Cricetulus griseus: one gene and its partner. The protein of the gene in region 1 purifies or fractionates together with the protein of each later gene. This does not show direct contact. Links are inferred from orthologs where the notes say so. Each region holds a gene or a part of one and is shown in the gene's direction. Other genes may lie near its edges.

The links.
Region 2: the proteins of Rnf111 (region 1) and Smad7 purify together in Homo sapiens (affinity purification with western blotting; 3 studies listed by BioGRID). This does not show direct contact. The link is inferred for Cricetulus griseus from reciprocal best matches to the Homo sapiens genes RNF111 and SMAD7.

Annotation. Positions count from the first base shown.
Region 1 is NC_048597.1:182,022,810-182,026,453, reverse strand, and holds part of Rnf111 (E3 ubiquitin-protein ligase Arkadia), read left to right. Parts: intron 1-3,192; 5' UTR 3,193-3,211; coding exon 3,212-3,644. UniProt on the Homo sapiens protein: E3 ubiquitin-protein ligase. Required for mesoderm patterning during embryonic development. Acts as an enhancer of the transcriptional responses of the SMAD2/SMAD3 effectors, which are activated downstream of BMP.
Region 2 is NC_048595.1:164,565,518-164,569,261, reverse strand, and holds the start of Smad7 (mothers against decapentaplegic homolog 7), read left to right. Parts: upstream 1-1,106; 5' UTR 1,107-2,438; coding exon 2,439-3,054; intron 3,055-3,744. UniProt on the Homo sapiens protein: Antagonist of signaling by TGF-beta (transforming growth factor) type 1 receptor superfamily members; has been shown to inhibit TGF-beta (Transforming growth factor) and activin signaling by associating with their receptors thus preventing SMAD2 access.

The DNA of each region.
Region 1 (3,644 bases):
ATCTGACTAGCAACTGTAAATTTGTTGCTTGCTGTGCTCCCCCCTCCCTTCACTCATTGTGCTATACTCTAGGTAGGATTTAATGACTGAGCTTGCAAACATCATTGCCTGCCCTTGTAAGAATCTTATAAGAAAAGAAAGAATCTAGAGGCCAGCCTGCACTACAGGGTGAGTTCCAGGACAGCCAAGGCTGTTACACAGAAAAAAGAAAGAAAAGGATTGAATGGCATTCTCTAGGGAAAGGTCATTGTAATCTTACTTTCATGAGGTCTGTTCTGATAATAGAGCTGTGAAATAGAGCACAAAACCTATGCAATTATGCATTTACGTATCTGTTATTTATGGAAACCCTTGACATAAAATACCTGTTTTATTTGGTGGTGGCACACACCTTCAATCCCAGCAGTTGGAGGCAGAGACAGGGTGATCTCTGAGTTGTAGGCTAGTCTGGTTTACAGAGGGAGATCCAGGACAGACAGAATTACACAGAGAAGCCCTGTCTCAAACAAACAAATGGTTTGAAAATGTCTGTTAGTGTAGAAACAGTTCTATCATTTTGGAAGTTAGGAAGTGGTCACAATTGTTGATGGATGGAAGTGATGAACTTGGAAGCTGAGGGAGGAGATGCCCTTGATCCTGGCAGTTGGAGACAGTCTGAGCAAGGTACTGGTTTCTAAAGCATACAAACCAGACTGTTTCTAAAGCATACAAACCGTGTTTACGCCTGCTTAGATTCTCATACTGCTCTAACACAGTGCTTCACTTGTCAGACTAACTACTTTTCTAGCGAGTGTTCCATCTTGAGTGATGTTCACAATTTTACATGGTCATCCTTCTTTTATGTACAAAATTACACTGTGAGCCAGAAAGAAAGCTCAGGTGCTTGACATCCAGGCCGGGGCACCCAAGTTTGATCTCTGAAGAGAACCAGCTCCACAAAGTTGTCTTGTGGACTTCATATTTACACCGTGGCACAAGTGCCACACACATGCATCAAGGAATAATAAAAAATTTAAAAATTGTGTTGGTGTTGATGCAGTAAATTAAGTTCCTTTGTTCAACAGCTCAGTTTCAGAGGTGAGATGATCTAAGCACACTTAGACCAGTTGTGGGAAGTTTTATTTTCTGCTGTGCTGCTGATTTAACAGTTATCTTCAGAATCTTGGTCCTTGCTCTAGGCTTGCTGTACTGACACTAAATTTACTAGTTGTGTCAAACTTCTGTTGGAATTAGGGTCTCATTAGATAAATGGAGTCATAGGAGAAAGAAGCTGTATTTCTACTAGCTAATTATTTAATGTAAAAACCATCTAAATGTACAGGAAGTATTTATTAAACAATTTTAGCATGTTAATATCAAAGGGAAGACATGAACTTTTCTGAAGATAAATGAACAAATGTCTACTCACCCCAAATAGCATCAACAATAGAAACATCCAGTTAAGCTGTGGCTTGGTTGAACCAATGTTTAACTGGGGTTTCTTAGGGGAGCTGTTGCAGTGACTACACTGCAATAGCAATCTGTCTTCCTGCACCAGCTTTCCTGTCAGTTCTTGGGGAAAGATGTGGCCTTATAAGCCCCCTCCTCTTAGCAACTGCTAATAGCTCGCAGATCACTGGTGGGGTGACTCACAACCTCTGCTTTAACAGTGGTTATCTGAAAACTCTTGGGAAGAGGTGGGCCTCATGAACCCTTTCCTTTGAGGGAAAGTTCATGGCCCAATCTTGTACAGTCTGCTGGCACTCAGATCTGCTGACAGTTGAAGAGGGCAATGACCATGTTATGCCCTGAAGGCAGTATTCAACAACACATGTCTTTGGAATTCTTTTTTTTAGTCGGGGGAGGGGTGCAGGGCTGGAGGAATCTCTTGAGATAGAGTCTTGTTGTGACTGGCTTTGCATTCGTCATTGTAGTACTCCCCGCTTCAGCCTCCAAAGTGTTGTGGTTTGATGACTTTATTGTGTTTTTTCTTATAATTTAAATTACATTAAAATTTTAGGTTTTTACTAGCCTTATGGGTACATTTTTATTCATGTACATGTATTGATTGTATTCACCTCTAATTCCCCTCTCATGTCTTTCTTATTCCACACCACTCCCATTGACCTCTTTCCTCTTTGCAAGTCATCTCTCTTCTGTTTTTACATCTTTGTTGGTGGTGATGGTGAACTTCCAATAGTGTTTCTAATAGGAATATGAGTAAGGGATTATAAATGCCTCCACCTCCCCCAGCATCCATTGGCTGCCTATAAATCCTGAGGACTGTAGCCTTCCTAAAGTTTGTTTTAAATGATACACAAGAGCTTAAACATTGTACATATTTTTCAGTACTTTGTGTTTTGATAAGTTTGTACATAGTGTAATGTTGCAGTCAGGTTAATAAATGTGCATTCACAGACATCTTTCTCTAGGTTATAGCTTTCAAAATCTTCTCCAGGTGTTTGAAATGTGCAATATAGTATCACCTGGAATTACATTATTACACACTGTTACCAAAACTTGTTCTTTGTATATAACTAACTAGTACTTGTTGACCAGCCATCCCTTATCTCACCTCTCCACTCCATTCTCCAGCCTCTGGTAACCTTCATTCTGCTCTCAGCTTTTGTGAATTAGTTTTGTCAATCCCACATGTGAGTAAGGTCTTGTGGAACTTGCTTTTCAGCCTGCCTTATTTCACTCAGGGTAATGGTTTATAATTCTGTCCAGGTTATTACAGATGAAAGGATTTCATTTTTTTTTTTAATGGGTGAATGGCATTCTATCATGTATCTACTACATTTTTTTCATCCATCCTTTGGCTGTTGTGGTTAATACTGCAGTGCACATGGGGTGCTGTATGATTTCAGCAGACTGGTTTCCTTTGACTGCAGAAGGCAGTCTTTTGAATTCTAATTCTCTTCTTTAGTTTAATGAAGTAAACTTAAAGGAAGTGTTTGGCTTTGACCAAATACGCTATATTGTGGAAGCTAGCAGGAATATTGCCAGGTCCTTTTGGTTACTGTAAGTTCCAGTACTATGTGCTAGTTGACTGTGTTTCTGAAAGTAGGGTAGAAGCAGAGGTACTAGAGTGTTCGATGAGAAAGTCAAGAGGCTGGCTTAGCTTAGTCATGTTACGGCTGCTGCAGGCTTTAGTCACTTGTGTAGCACAGATGTACTGAGTCTTTTCAATGTCTGCCTTGTGTCTCCTAGGCCTTCCTTAAAGTTTCCCATGTCTCAATGGACTCCTGAATATAACGAGCTCTACACCCTAAAAGTGGCTATGAAGAGTGGGACTCCTCCTGATGCGCCCACAACACAGGAGAGTCTGAAGGGGGTCCTTCTGCACCCACAGCCCCTCGGGGCCACCAAGAGCTTCCCTGCAGAAGTGGAGATGATTAACAGCAAAGTGGGGAATGAATTCTCTCACCTGTGTGATGATTCAAAACAAGAGAAGGACATGAATGGCAACCAGCAAGAACAAGAAAAAAGTGGGGTTGTGAGGAAAAAGCGCAAAAGCCAACAGGCTGGCCCCTCATATGTACAGAATTGTGTCAAAGAAAATCAGGGAATCCTAGGGCTGAGGCAACATCTAGAGACACCAAGTGATGAAGAGAATGACTCTTCCTTCAGTGAGTGTCTGTCTTCTCCCTCATCTAGTCTCC
Region 2 (3,744 bases), on another chromosome or scaffold:
CTTTTTAAAACACCCTGACCCTAAGCACCTTGAAAGCCACGAGGCCAAGCAGGGCCCAGGAACAGGCCCCCGCGTGCGAATGAAAGCTCTAAGCTGGTCTGCTCTCTGGGTAACCTTCCCGCGCCGGGAGGCCCAGTAGCGGGTGCCGGAGGTCTAAACGGCCGGGAGGAAACCTGCCGGCGGCGCACAGGCGAGCAGCACCCCTCCTCCCTCCAGGATGCTGCCCCTCGCTGCTCGTCAGCCTGCCAAATGCATTCCAGAGCTGTGCACAAGACACACTTCTCCAGGCAGTCCTAGAAACCCGAGCCCGGAGCGGGAGAGGGCGGGAGGGAGCACGGCGGCCGCTGAGGTCACATTCGCGCCGCCTCTCCGCCCTCGGCCGCCCGGCTGTTCCCTCTAGCGCACACTTCCTAGGGCCTCTGTCCTGGCCGGTGTAAATGTCTTTGAAACAGACAGCGTTCTCCTCCCCTTTCCAAGGGATCCGCCGCCAGGGCCTTAAAACAAATCGAATGAATGAATCGCCGGGGCGAGCTCCGCTGGTCTAAATCGGGCCACCGACCGACTCGCTCCTTTCCAAACTCGCCCGCTCCATGCCCCCAGCTCTTCCGATTTCTCCCCTGCTCCCGCTGGGTCTCCGTCGACCCCCGGGCTGTCTCGGCCTCCCACCTCCCTCCACCCATGCGTACCCCTCTGCAGACCTAAGAGAGGGTGGCGGTAACGGGGGGGGGGGGTTGAAATAGCTTTTAGAAACCCGATCTGTTGTTTGCGAAACACAATCGCTTTTTTTTTTTTTAAAGCGACAGGGTGTCTAGACGGCGTGAGGCCCCGGGCGACACTCGCTAGCAGATCGGCGCACAGAGGATCTTGTCCCCGAGCTGCGCCAGCAGAGCCAGCCGGGCGCCTCGCTCGGTCCGCTCGCCGCGCCGGAGAGAGCTGCCCGAGACGCAGCCAGCCAGCCGGCCGGCGCCACGCCGCCGAGCGCTCGGCCCCGGAGTCCCTGAGTGCGGCGCGGCGAGCCCCCAGCGGCGGCAGAAGGACTCGAGCGCCAGGAGAGGGCGGACGGGGGACGAGGAGGCTCCCGGGCGAGACGAGGAGAGTCTCGGAGGAAGAGGCAGCGAGAGGACACCCGGGCCTCCTGCCGCCACAGTCGGTTCGGGGCCAGTAGCTCCTTCGGGCAGCCTCTGCAGCCACCGGCGACCAGGGGAAGGGGCATCGGCGGCCCCCACACTAGTCTGCTGCTTGTGCCCTCGGGGGCGAGAGCTTGCGACCCGCCGGAGCCCGCCGCCGCGCCGCCCTCCCTTGCGCTGACAGCCCCCCGGGGCGCAGCCGCCGCCGCAGCATCTTCTGTCCCTGCTTCCCCAGAGCCGAGGAAGTCCCCGCCGAGGACCTGGGCCCCCGGGAGCGCAGGAGGAAAGACCAGAGACTCTGAAACACCCAGACACGCAAGATTGAAGCAGCCTAGCCAGACCCTTCTGTGGATTAAAAGAAATACGATTTTTTTTTTTGGCAGAAGAAAAGGAAAGGAAGACCCGCAGGGTTCTGCAAGGAAAAAAAAGGGGGGGATGTAACTCGTGGATACGTTTTTTCCCCACCCCTCCAACATCTTGTTCTACTTTGTAAACATTTTCTCTTCTAAACCCGGGCTCCATCCGGTGGCCCCCAGACCTCCGAGGTGCCAGGAGGTGTTGTGTGTGTTTTTTTTTTTTTTTCATTGGGGGCTTTGCATATTTGGTTTTGGGTTTTTTTTTTTTTTTTGAGAGACCCTACAGACGTCTCACGCGGGGTGAAGTCTACTCGGCCCCCTCCCTCTAGTCTTCGCGAGCACAGAATTCGAGGAGATCCGGTTACTAAGGATATAGAAGAAAAAAATAAATCGTGTGCCTGCTTTTTTTTTTTTAATTGCCTGCTTCTCCCCACCCCCAAATTAAGTTGCTTAGCAAGGGGGAAAGAGGCTTTTTCCTCCCTTCAGTAGCACAGCCTAACGCCTTTCGTTTTTTTGCCCCCGAGGATCTTCCATGTAGGAAGCCGAGGCTGGCGAGCCCGACACTCGGGAGCTACTGTAGGGGGGCCTCTTTTGGGGGAGGCGTCCACCGGGGCAGTCTCGGCCGCCCCCAGGGAAGCGGCGGCCGCGTTTCTCCGGGGCGCGCCGGGGCCCGAGAGCCGCGCAGGGCGCGGGCCGCGCCGGGTGGGGCAGCCGAAGCGCAGGCCCCGATCCCCGGCGGGCGCCCCCGGGCCCCGCGCGCGCCCCGGCCTCCGGGAGACTGGCGCATGCCACGGAGCGCCCATCGGGCCGCCGCCGCTCTTGCCCGGGCCCCTGCTGTTGCTGCTGTCGCCTGCGCCTGCTGCCACAACTCGGCGCCCGACTTCTTCATGGTGTGCGGAGGTCATGTTCGCTCCTTAGCCGGCAAACGACTTTTCTCCTCGCCTCCTCGCCCCGCATGTTCAGGACCAAACGATCTGCGCTCGTCCGGCGTCTCTGGAGGAGCCGTGCGCCAGGCGGCGAGGACGAGGAGGAGGGCGTGGGGGGTGGCGGCGGCGGCGGAGGCGAGCTGCGGGGAGAAGGGGCGACGGACGGCCGGGCTTATGGGGCTGGTGGCGGCGGCGCGGGCAGGGCTGGCTGCTGCCTGGGCAAGGCGGTCCGAGGTGCCAAAGGTCACCACCATCCCCATCCCCCAACCTCGGGTGCAGGGGCGGCCGGGGGCGCCGAGGCGGATCTGAAGGCGCTCACGCACTCGGTGCTCAAGAAACTCAAGGAGCGGCAGTTGGAGCTGCTGCTCCAGGCCGTGGAGTCCCGCGGCGGTACGCGCACCGCGTGCCTACTGCTGCCCGGCCGCCTGGACTGCAGGCTGGGCCCGGGGGCGCCCGCCAGCGCGCAGCCCGCGCAGCCGCCCTCGTCCTACTCGCTCCCCCTCCTGCTGTGCAAAGTGTTCAGGTGGCCGGATCTCAGGCATTCCTCGGAAGTCAAGAGGCTGTGTTGCTGTGAATCTTACGGGAAGATCAACCCCGAGCTGGTGTGCTGCAACCCCCATCACCTTAGTCGACTCTGCGAACTAGGTAAGAAGTTGTTCTGTGTCCACCTTTCGTTCCCTCCTGCGCGGAAGTGTTGGTAGAATTCCCAGGGTGTGTGTGCATCCCCCTTCTGGAGGAGAGGAGGGAAATAAAATCAGGGAAGGGACAAGGGGAAACTCGGACATTCTTTGGGGTTCCCTTTCATATTCTATCTCCCGCCTCCACCCTCTGGTGGAGGACCCATGGAGACTGTTTATGCTTATAGTGAACAGACATGCTGCAGAAAATGAGACACACTTATTTCCGGGTCAGCAAGGGAATTCAGAGCGAAGTGGGGATCACGCTTCCCCCGCACCCGGATAGGCGTTGAGGTGTGTGGCCGAGTTGGATTCTGTCCAAGCCCGCCAAGGAAGGTTGGGAGAAACTAGCTATAAAAGTTGGAAAGTCTCCTCTCCTTTAGTAAATAAGGACAGTCACGTGGGGCTCAAGTGGCCCAGATACTGCCCTGGCCTCTCAGCTTTGGAGTTTGGGGGCTGTGGTAGGATGGAGACCGAACTAGGTATCCACTGTTAGCTATGCCAGCCACAGGGTGAGAAGGAGCAAACAGCCTGGAGAAGTTGGGTCCCCTACTTTTACCTTTATTTCGCACCGAAAAGCATACCATTAGTGGTCCTTAGAACCCCAGCCCCCTGTGTCTCCCTTTTCTTAATTGCCCTGGAGCCTGGCCTTCATAGC